Mytilus edulis: one gene and its partners. The protein of the gene in region 3 purifies or fractionates together with the protein of the main gene of each other region. This does not show direct contact. Links are inferred from orthologs where the notes say so. Each region holds a gene or a part of one and is shown on either strand. Other genes may lie near its edges.

What was found.
Region 1: the proteins of intraflagellar transport protein 140 homolog (region 3) and WD repeat-containing protein 19-like purify together in Homo sapiens (co-immunoprecipitation; 3 studies listed by BioGRID and IntAct, with this or other methods). This does not show direct contact. The link is inferred for Mytilus edulis from reciprocal best matches to the Homo sapiens genes IFT140 and WDR19.
Region 2: the proteins of intraflagellar transport protein 140 homolog (region 3) and intraflagellar transport protein 43 homolog A-like purify together in Homo sapiens (affinity purification with mass spectrometry; 3 studies listed by BioGRID and IntAct, counting the BioPlex papers as one, with this or other methods). This does not show direct contact. The link is inferred for Mytilus edulis from reciprocal best matches to the Homo sapiens genes IFT140 and IFT43.

The regions. Positions count from the first base shown.
Region 1 is NC_092351.1:26,544,973-26,548,735, forward strand, and holds the start of WD repeat-containing protein 19-like, read left to right. Parts: upstream 1-1,532; 5' UTR 1,533-1,643; coding exon 1,644-1,649; intron 1,650-3,763. UniProt on the Homo sapiens protein: As component of the IFT complex A (IFT-A), a complex required for retrograde ciliary transport and entry into cilia of G protein-coupled receptors (GPCRs), it is involved in cilia function and/or assembly.
Region 2 is NC_092346.1:63,096,692-63,100,454, forward strand, and holds the start of intraflagellar transport protein 43 homolog A-like, read right to left. Parts: upstream 2,443-3,763; 5' UTR 2,389-2,442; coding exon 2,287-2,388; intron 2,216-2,286; exon of another isoform or gene 2,111-2,215; coding exon of another isoform or gene 2,069-2,110; intron 875-2,068; coding exon 743-874; intron 20-742; coding exon 1-19. UniProt on the Homo sapiens protein: As a component of IFT complex A (IFT-A), a complex required for retrograde ciliary transport and entry into cilia of G protein-coupled receptors (GPCRs), it is involved in ciliogenesis.
Region 3 is NC_092352.1:66,730,552-66,734,314, forward strand, and holds the start of intraflagellar transport protein 140 homolog, read left to right. Parts: upstream 1-922; 5' UTR 923-1,016; intron 1,017-3,267; coding exon of another isoform or gene 3,268-3,489; intron 3,490-3,653; coding exon of another isoform or gene 3,654-3,763. Other genes in the region: uncharacterized protein, read right to left, coding at 3,268-3,489, 3,654-3,763. UniProt on the Homo sapiens protein: Component of the IFT complex A (IFT-A), a complex required for retrograde ciliary transport and entry into cilia of G protein-coupled receptors (GPCRs).

The DNA of each region.
Region 1 (3,763 bases), on a different chromosome or scaffold from region 3:
GTCACTTGGACACAGTAAATAACCAGGTTACAGTAAGCACACTCTACAAGCTACTTAAAGAAGCCAATAAGTGTTTACTTACTGTTTAATGTCAGAGGTCAGTGAACAAACTCAGGATGTGCTAAGTATCGTAGACTGGTTCGAAAGACGCAAAACTGAAAGTCCACAATTTCAATTCTGAATCTAATGTTGACAATTGAATTAAAAAAATGCACGATGAGACATGAAGTTATTTGATCCTACACATCATCAGCTGGCTGCAGAATTCCATAACGAAAAATTTATTTTTTCACAAATCTAATTGTGAATTTTCAGCGTTGGATAATGGCCAATTACATGAGCAAGCACATGTTGTTATCAAAGGTGATTGTGGTGCCATTGATGTGTCACTTGGTTAATGTTTCTCAGTATGAATCGGCATCTGAAGCCACGAGTGCCAATGAAAGTACCAGACATCACGAACAGGCAGAACACACACAACATTTCATCGATAAATTACAGAAGCTGTATACTGTTATGAAAGATATGGGCAATCTATAAATGGGAGAGACTGATGACCTTTTTACACTAGGTACATAACAAAATGTGTTGCCAACTTAACTATGCGGTATGGGCTTTGTTCATTGTTGAAGGCCGCACGGTGACCTATAGTTGTTAATTTTTGCCAGACTGACATACATAATAAAATGTTTTAACATACCAAATATAGTTGACCGATTTCATATATAATTAGAAGAAAAAAAACATGAGAAACTGGGAAATGGTTGTGTGCAGTAGAAAATTTATGGGTATGAGATTAACTTAAGTTGGGTCGACTGTATGAGAAGGATATATGACAGAAGGAAACTATGTCAATATATATAATGGAATTTGATGCGACTGTTATACAAGTGAGAGTCAAGTTAAGCTAGCTATAAAACCAGGTTCAATCCCCCATTTTCTACATAAGAAAATGCCTGTACCCTGAAGTCGGGAATATGACAGTTGTTTTGAATTCGATTGATATGTTTGAGCTTTCTATTTTGCCATTTGATATAAGATAAGATAGATAAGATATATTTTATTTCCAATTAAGAGCCCACAAGGGGCATTTAGAGAATACAAGTATAAGGAAAAAGAACATTGATTAGCATAGATACATCATATAATTTACATACCATGACAATCACGATACAATTAGACTGTAAATAATAAAACCCTTGGTCTATAATATATAAATATATTTATATGAGAAATTAATACATCTAACATCATATTGACTTGAATAAATTTTCCAACCGAGCATTAAGAATGATCACAGCTTAAATACATAAATATTTTTTTGCTGATATAATAATTGTTCTTGTAATCCTCGAGAAATCGTGGTACCGTCAACCCTCTATAATATAAACTTGTTTGATAGATTTAACGATGCCGCCGCCGGATCACTATCCTTATATAGAGCTTTCTACTGCTTGACAACGATTATAAATTTCGGAGGTGTACCTTATATGGAGGAAGTTATACAAATATCACGAGTTATCTACCGTAATGGGATTCTCCAATCTAAGAAAGCACAAAACGACCCGCATTCCACAGCGGTCTGTATCCAGTGGTGAATATGTATACAAATCTTTGAAAAATATCAACTACAAGCTATCACAATGAAGGTAACTATCTAAACAGTTTGATGTACTTTAATGGTCAAGCACCAATGAAAATAAAATATTTATATATACCCAAAAGTCGACACTGAAAGAGGTCAAAACAAAAGAGCATTTTGACTTTTTTTGCCATTTTGGTATAATTTTTTCATTTTTGTGTCTGGATAAATTTTATGATTTTCCGATTTCATAATTCTTATCAAGGTATGAAAATGTTTAAATATGCCAACCCTCCCCTTACCATTGACAATACATATATGGCTCTTGTGTAAGGTTTGTCAATTTTATTTAAAATCTGATATCTGATGGGAAAGCAAACTGGGATCAGATTAAAACAGACATAAATATGATAACAAAGGACATCCATAATCATATACACGATATGCCAATAGATAAAACCTGGCAAACCTTCAAGAACGGTGTACAAGCAACAATTGACACCAACGTACCATCTAAAATGATAAAGAAAAAGCACTCTGTCCCATGGTTAAACAGAAAACTGCGCAAAATGCTAAAACGGAAAGCTAGGTTGCACAAACATGCTAGAAAAACTGGAAGTTACAAAGAATATAAACAATTCCAAAAAGACTGCAAACGCCAATTTAGAAAAGCAGAATGGAACTATATTAATGACATCATCAATGCAGGTTTTGAAAAGAATAGTTCTAAACCATTCTGGAACTACATGAAAGCAAAGAAACAAGATAATATAGGAGTAGCACCACTAAAGTCAAATGGAGGCCTTACAAACGACAGCAAAGAAAAGGCAGAAATTCTAAACAACCAATTCAAATCAGTATTCACTAAATTAGATCCGAACTCACAAATACCACCACTAAAGAAAAGATCAACTTCAAATATTTCAAAATTGGACATAACATCAGAAGGAGTACATAAATTATTGAAAAACGTAAATCCATCCAAAGCAATGGGACCAGACGGAATACCAAACACTGTCCTTAAAACATGTGCAGAAGAACTCGCACCAAGTATATCCGCCATCTTTCAAAAATCAATTGACACAGGCACTCTCCCTGAAGATTGGTTAAGTGCAAACATAGCTCCAGTATTTAAGAAGGGGGACGTCCAGGCAGCTGAAAATTACAGACCAGTCTCACTGACCTGTGTATCATGTAAGCTTTTGGAACACATCATCTGTAAACACATCCTTAAACATCTGGAAAAGCACAAAATACTGACAAATTTAAATCATGGATTCAGATCAGGTTACTCTTGTACAACACAGCTCTTAGTCACAACAGAAGACCTACTAAAGAGCTTCGACAGTGGCATTCAACTTGATATGGCTATACTCGACTTTTCAAAGGCTTTTGATACTGTGCCACATAACAAACTTCTGGCAAAACTAAACAGCTTCGGAATAGATGGAAATCTGAACAAATGGTTAGCAGCATTTCTGCAAAAACGATCAATGCGGGTTGTCGTAGAAGGTGAGCACTCAGAATATGCCCACGTAGACTCTGGCGTACCACAAGGCACAGTACTAGGACCGCTGCTTTTTCTATGCCACATCAACGACCTCCCGGAAAGCGTAAAATCTCAAGTTCGTTTATTTGCAGATGACTGCCTACTTTATCGAGAGATCAAAAACACAAAAGACCACCAAACTCTCCAAGAAGATCTAAAAGCTCTGGAAGTATGGGCACTAAATTGGGGAATGAAATTCAACGCAAAAAAATGCTATATAATGAGCTTCAAACAAAAATCAACACACTTCTACCAACTAGACAACCACATACTAGAACAGGTACAAACTAATCCTTACCTAGGTCTTAACATATCTGATGACCTAAAATGGACCAGCCACATAGGGAAAACAACAAGCAAGGCAAGCTGTACACTGGGGTTCCTGAGAAGAAACTTACGCCAGTGCCCCCAAGAGTGCAAAAAACTTGCCTACTTAGCCATGGTTAGATCCGTACTAGAATACGGTGCTGTCATCTGGGACCCATTCACCATCAGGGAAATAGAAAAAATAGAAAGCATACAGAAAAGAGGAGCACGATTCATTCTGCACGACTATAAATCCAGAGACACCGGATGCGTCACAAATATGCTTTCTAAGCTAAAACTGCCACCTCTCCAAGAGCGAAGGAAAC
Region 2 (3,763 bases), on a different chromosome or scaffold from region 3:
AGGGCTTCGGCGGCTCATCCTGAAATATTAACAGATCTTTAAAATGGATAAGATTATTCTTTTTTGGTAGCATATATATACAATAATTGTTTCTGAACTTGTGCTAAATATTAAAACACTTACATGACTTAAAGAAATCTACAAATGTATCTTGTTTCCTAAATTTGTATATAAAACCATTCAAGAGAGTAGAAAGTATCTTTGACTTGTAAAATAATGATGATATTCAAATTATATATTCTTACTAAATTCAGGTTGCTTATAATTATGGCATGTTATAACAAGAATATGTGCCCATAGGACACTATGCACAGCTGGAGTGGCAATATCAGACAGGCACACACTTTTTTTAGATTAAGGTGTTACATGTCAACATCATTTTCAATATTTCATACATAGTAATTTGATTCAAATACAAATCTGGAGTCAATTTTTGACTTTTGATGATTTGTTAGTACTTGATTTTACCTTCTGTTTTGATAATCATTAAATCTACCAATGTTATTCACGATATAATATGTTTAAATATGTAACATGAGTGTCAGCTGAGCTTTGTCATATACATATATTAGTAGTAAAACATGAACACAGGATCTTCATTTCAATGTGACTGATAGTTATATAAATCCTTATTTTATATATGTAAATTCATTAATGTTTTGTTTTGGGGTAATTCATGTATAAAATGTGACATTTTTTTCTTTTAATGTCAAAATGTTGTCTGACTATAAAGAAAACCTACAGGTTCTTGTCTTCCAGCCGGCTGTCTTGACTTTGGTGCCTTTGGTGAGTTTTCTACGCTAGCTTCAAAATCAGGAGCATCTGGTGGATTTGCTGTTTTCTGTTGGGCTCTTCTCCCTGTTTTAGCAGTACCCTATAATCAAAATAAAATGATAAGACACATACATGACAGTAGTAATGGGGGTACCTTCATGATAAATAGTGGTAAAAGTTCTTTGGTGCATGACGATAAAATGTACACTTTTTTTGTAGACAAAATAAAAATCAACTAATTTTGACTTACAAATGTATCACATTCATTTTTTCCAAAATTGACACAAAAGATTATTATTTTTAACCTCTAACAAATTTTGATAGGGAAATTTTGACAAGTCAAGGTAAAACTTTAACCAATTTGATGCTAACGGTAGCTGCAAATGGTTGTTTGACGCCTGGCATTTCTAACGTGACGGTACCCAAATTGCACCTATTTTGACAGTTTTTTCACCTACGTTGTTTTATGATCAAGAAAAAAATGTCCATACTGGGTTTATTTTGTAGCCTTATCCTTCTTTATTGTATAGGTACACCATTTTGATTTTTAATCCATATTGAGTCATAAAAAAATGGGTTTGAATCAACCTCCAAACTATCCATGATTCTGTAATGAGGAGTACCCAAATTGCATCCATGCTTAAATTCACATCGTCAAAAGTCTAATAACCGAGCTTTTGTTTAATTTCTTCAAATATTTTGAACAATTGGATATTCGTCCATGCTTACTCCTCATATTTTACGAAATGGATACTTATAATATATTGTATTTGCTAATTTTAAAAAGATGACGTTTTGATGACGTCGCATGGTGACGTTTTCGTACATTTTGCTTTTTCAGTAAACAGTCCATCTGTTGATAAAGACTGTGAACGTTTTGTGTATATCTAAATATGTTTACCTATGTTGAAAGACGTGCATAGTATCGAATCATAAAAATACAAATTGTTTAGTCTCTAGGAAATCTTGTAAGATTTCCGTTGCAATTTTTTCTAAATAGGTGCAATTTGGGTACTCGGTGCAATTTGGGTACCCTTTCGTTACCCTCTATAGCTACATTGTAATAAAAAGGGGGCAAGGAGTATCTTGGTTTCTAACCTTCCCCCTTTCCTACTTTTTTTCCCTCTCCCTACTCTCAATTCCTTCTACTTTTACCTAAAGCCAAAATTCTAACTAAAAAAAACCTCACAGAAATGTATCAAACATGTCAAAGATATTTTTATAAATTCATGATTAGGTTATAATTTTTACGTGTAGGAAACAGTTTTTTTTGACAGGTATAACCTAAATTTACCTTAGCATTCTTTGATTCGCCAAAATCAAAATCATCTGCCATTTCTATCAGTTGTAATTTAAGTGATCAACTGAGCAATTTACAAATATTACTGCTGTCATGGAATGTGTTTATCTAAGGGAGAAAACTTAGGTTGAGAAAAGTAATTTCAAGTCGATGACGGTTTGTCTCCGGAAAATATCTTACTGTGTCATAGATGATAGATATTTATAGTTTACCTTCAATTTAAAATGTGGGAATAATAAACCTGTGTTGTTTGATACATTTGAAGCAAGAACATTAACGATCCCTGTGTTTAACACTTTAGCTGCGCTTTCCATAATAAGGCTATCAATCGTTGTCCTGGAGCATATTTAATCTCCTCATTGTTTCATTCCTTAATATTAATTGTTTCATATAAAGTGTGCACATGTTTAGTACATTTGTTTTAAATGTCATGAATAGTTTTGTTCTTATTTAAGTATGATAACACATGTGATCAATAATATAAGTGTGCTTAGTAGATAAAGTTTAAAGTAACAATATATCAGGTGCTTATATATATATTAATTTATTGCAGCCATAATACAGCCACAATACTCATTGACAAAATATTGGAAAGGGCTTATCATCGGGTAGAACATGGGAATTTCCCTAGGAACTTGTTTATCTAGTATTACAAATGGGTTACAAATGATACTTCTAGATATTCACTCGGGACAAATGTCAATGAAACAAACTGAGTCAATGTAACAAAAGCCTCAGATAGCATACTATGGAAGAATCAGAAATAAAATAAAAAATCACGGGGAAATATTGTTTTACAGAAAAATCTGTTGTTTGTTCATACTATTGACCGCTTTTCGTCATGATAAGTTTACCGTGCTCAAAGTCAATTACGCCTGGTTCTCACACTAAATTAGTTTCAAACAGGCAACAAAAATCCATACCTCACTGTAACATATGATGTATTACTCACATGATAATATTTGATGATGTATAAAGATATCGCTGGTTATTCAAATTGTCCAGTTTATCTAGAACCGTTTGCCTCTTCTGATCTCACTAAGTACTCGGCGATTATTTGTTCAAATGTCTCCTGTGATAGATTATAAGAGATACTTTAACCATACAAAAATGTGAATAAAAATGTGAATAAAAGTATGAATTAAGATGAAAATAAAGATATGATTAAATCCAGGATCCTCAACTATTAATTCTCTAAAATTACGGTAACATTAAGATTCGCGTAGTGGAATAGACATTTCTCAATTGTGGAAGACGAAATTTTGCCTTTTCACTTTGTGTTAGTTTCAGTTTAAACATATTTTAGATTGTTTAAAAATGACAATTTTACAAATGTGTTAGTGTTTGGTCTCAGTTACTTATATCCTCATTTTTATCCCATATAACACACATGTAATATATTATTAATGTTCTTCATTTGAAGTATCAATTCTACTCTTTTTTTTTGATTTTTTTTTGTTTCAATTCTTATTCTTCATTCATCTTCAGAAGTTTACAATGTTAAGACTATATATACTTAAAAACTGCAAATCACTTTGCATGTGATTAATCATTTAATTCTTTTATAATCTCAATCCACTTCAGGAAATGCTCATGCAGCGGTGTTAGACATCATCATCGATCAGTGTGCCATTTCAGATCCTGCATGACCGTATGGCCAAAATTATTGAAAAAATATTGGAGTATTTG
Region 3 (3,763 bases):
GTTTAATCTTATCAAAATAGATGTAAGGTGTGTTTATTATTAATGTTCTGAATCACAAATCCGACAAGCTTTCATTTAAACCATTACAACTGAAATTTCCATTAGAAATGAAAAAAATTAGCATGGGTGTACTGAAAATTCGACATTTTTTTTTAAATGATGCGAGATTTCCTCACGGGAGAAAGGAAGAAAGACCATTCACAATATGCCTTACATTTGTTTTTTTTCCTCTTTTAATTAAATTTAAACTTTCTAATTTAGAGTTTATTAGATACAAATATTCCCTGTGTAGGAACCCCCCCCCCCCCTCTTTCCTCCCTTTTTTCTTAGTTACCATCACTGAGATCCAAATTATTGACAGTCAGCTATATATATAGTTCCCAAATGTATCAAAATCACAGTACTCGATTTTTCGGTACTGACATGATTTATAACGCAATTGTCTTTAAAATAATTGTCTGTTGATGAATTTAGAAAGTATCAAAAACTAAGGTTCACGATACACTTCCCGGCAAATGTGACCGGCGGCTGTATCTAGATAGATTTGGAGTAACCGTTTAGATCCCTTTTGTCAAATATATGCAGCTCGTTACATATTCAAGAACTTAAGCTATAAATATTTTGATTTCACCTTTTTCGATCATTGAACGTTTATGTTGAAGGAATAACCGAATGGACTGAATATATATATATATACCGTCTTAGATAAGGTTTTTCAGAAAGCTAATGCTTGTTATGTGATCCGGTATCAGTATAAAATTCGGGATACAGAAGAATTTTTTTATCATTATTTGTTATTTTAAGAAAATTATTGCTAATAACACAAAAAAACATCAAATTTCAAATAATTTACGAATTTTTATAGTTTTATTTGAATAGAAAAAAGTTTGTTTAGATTTGTTTACGCTTTTTAACAAGTCCCACAATGCATTGCTGAAATATTTTTCAAAATGGAGCACATAGTTGAATTTCCTATGAAATAGCATCACAGTATCCAGGGAAACAACATCTTTCTTGTATGATTGTATACGATCAGCCTCAAAAACTTTAAAGATCTACATATGAGTCTACATTTTCACTGGTTTTTATAATTTTAAATCCGCCGAATCTGATCAAAATATTGTGTAAACATGTCGCAAAAAAAAGGGGGGACGAAATTCTTCGTTACATGTTAGCATTTGCAAAATTTTCTCGATTAAATTTTTGTAGGCTTTTGATAACAAATGTTTTCAACAACAGAATGGGCATGGTACAAAAGACAGAACGATCTTTAGTACTTTACAAGTGGAACAAGATACATTTTGAATGACAAAAGTTTATTTTTTCCATTTTCTACCATTTTTGGAGTGGTAAAAAAAAACAATGAGACAACACTCCATCCAAGTAGCAATTAATAAAAGTAAACCATTATAGGTCAAGGTACTTAGGGTTCTCACTTAGGATTTTTTTTAAGTCCAGGGACTCGTCATTTTTGGCCATGGTCACAAAACAATGATCATCAGTCAGAGCACTCAGGCAGAGCTCAGACATAAACAAGTCGATTTTTGTTTTTGACTTAAAGAAGTTGAAACATGTATTTATTATAAAAATGTGTTTTCAATTTTAGACTTATCTTAGTCAGAAAATGACAGACTTGTTTAGGTCTATTTATTGTGATTAAAAAACTTAACTATAATTTTACTTGGTGGCCAAAGTACACCACCTGTGACAGCAAAAACCCGTCTGAGAGTTCTCAAGGACTTGAGCTATCTATATTTAATTATCTAATTGAACATCCTTACTAAACACAGATGTTTTACCGCATTAAGTGTGGTTCCAGGTGGTTGCATTGTATGGTTAATTAACATTATCTCCGATTTTTTAGACTCTCATTCATATTTTTCTTTAGAAGACAAAGCATTGTCTTTTAATGTTGTCATTATTTGATTTCGATGCATGACCTTTTTATAAATATGCGTGGGTCTTGAAGTTAACCAATTTTGATAACTTATCGACTTGTCAATGCTTGTAGGAGTCGATATTTGCAACTTTTTGATTCTGGTCAATTATTTCTTGCTTAACAATATTGACTTATTAAGGTCGTATTTTGTCTTGCATTAAAGGGAGAAAAATCCTAAAACTAAAAAATTTAGACCTCTATGAGTCAAAAGCAGATTCAGACTTATTTATGTCTGAGCTCTGACTGATGGTGAGTTCAACCGTCAGAAGAAAATATTTTACTAAAATTTAATTTATCATTTTAGTCTCCATGACCTGATAGTGCAATGAAACTTTTGCTATAAAATGATGATATATGTGTTCAGTTTATACAAAATATATCAATTTTGCTGCTTCTTTGGACTTGTGTTTGAAAATGGTGATACCGTATGGCCTTCATCACGAATTCTAGACAGTTCGGCACCCAGACAAATCGGTACCCGGACAAATCGGCACCTACCAAAGACAAATCGGCACCCGTGAAAGACAAATCGGCACCCAGACAAATCGGCACTTAGACAAATCGGCACCTCACATAGACAAATCGGCACCTTATAAATTATTTATCTTTGATCTATATATAGTGAACCAAAAATTATGTTTGAGTGTTATTTATTTGTCTCCTGCACTATTTATAACATTATTGTCAATATTGGACATTGTTTCTTTGAATATGTATCTTATTAAGTGGTTTATTCCTTTTAGTTATTTGTTCGGCACCCAGACAAATCTTTGAATATGTATCTTATTAAGTGGTATATTCCTTTTAGTTATTTGTTTGTGCACAGGACTGTACTGCAGCTTAGTCGTTTTGATAGGTGTATTATTTGTGTGAATTCTTTTTTCTGACTTTATAGATTTCACCACACATGTACTTGGAATGTGCATGTACTAGTTTTAATGTAATCCATAATTCTGTTACCATTGTATCCAAAATCAATAAAACACATGTAGAATATTAATAATATTTATTTATTATATCTATTATATATTATATTCAACAGTTTATGCATACATGTAATAAATGTAATAAATAATAAATAATAATAAATAATAATAAATAAGCTGTATTTAGAGTCTGCAAAGTATATTTTTAACCGACAAACAAAACATTTTTAACAATACAACACATAATACACAGCACAAAATGAAGCACTAAAAGCATGGTTCATGGTTGTAATAAACATGATAAACTAGGTCAAAAGCATACTATAGGTATGAACACAAAGGTTAAATACTGAAATCATAACATAACATATAGACAAGCACTATAAGTCTTAACACTCAAAGTCACTTTGGTGGTGGTCCGTAAACACTGGCACACTCCTTAAGGAGTCTAGACGCGGAGATGCTGTTGTTGCAATACTCGTCCCACAAAGCAAAAAGACGGCCCTGGGTCTGTCTACTCTGTTTGCGCTGGTACCTTTGGAGCTTGCCTTCAGACACTAACTTAAGCACCCGGATATATAAACGTGTATATTCTAATTTCATGCGTGAGAGAGACGATAACAACTAAGGCAATAAAACATAATCAATTACAAAAGAACAATACAAAAAAGGCATCTAGCTGTTGTTTCGGTCTTTTGAAAAAAAGTTATACAGCTGTCCGCTTACAAATCTTATTGAGCGTTCTTGATGGAATCAATTTCATTAATATGTATAGATAACAAACATACCTCTTTCTTTATCATGACAGCTATCACAGACCCTGGTTCTGCTGGGTGGACATGCTCTTTCATACCGGGTTTGAAGTTGTCACCATCTTGAATAACAGTAGCAGGGCAGT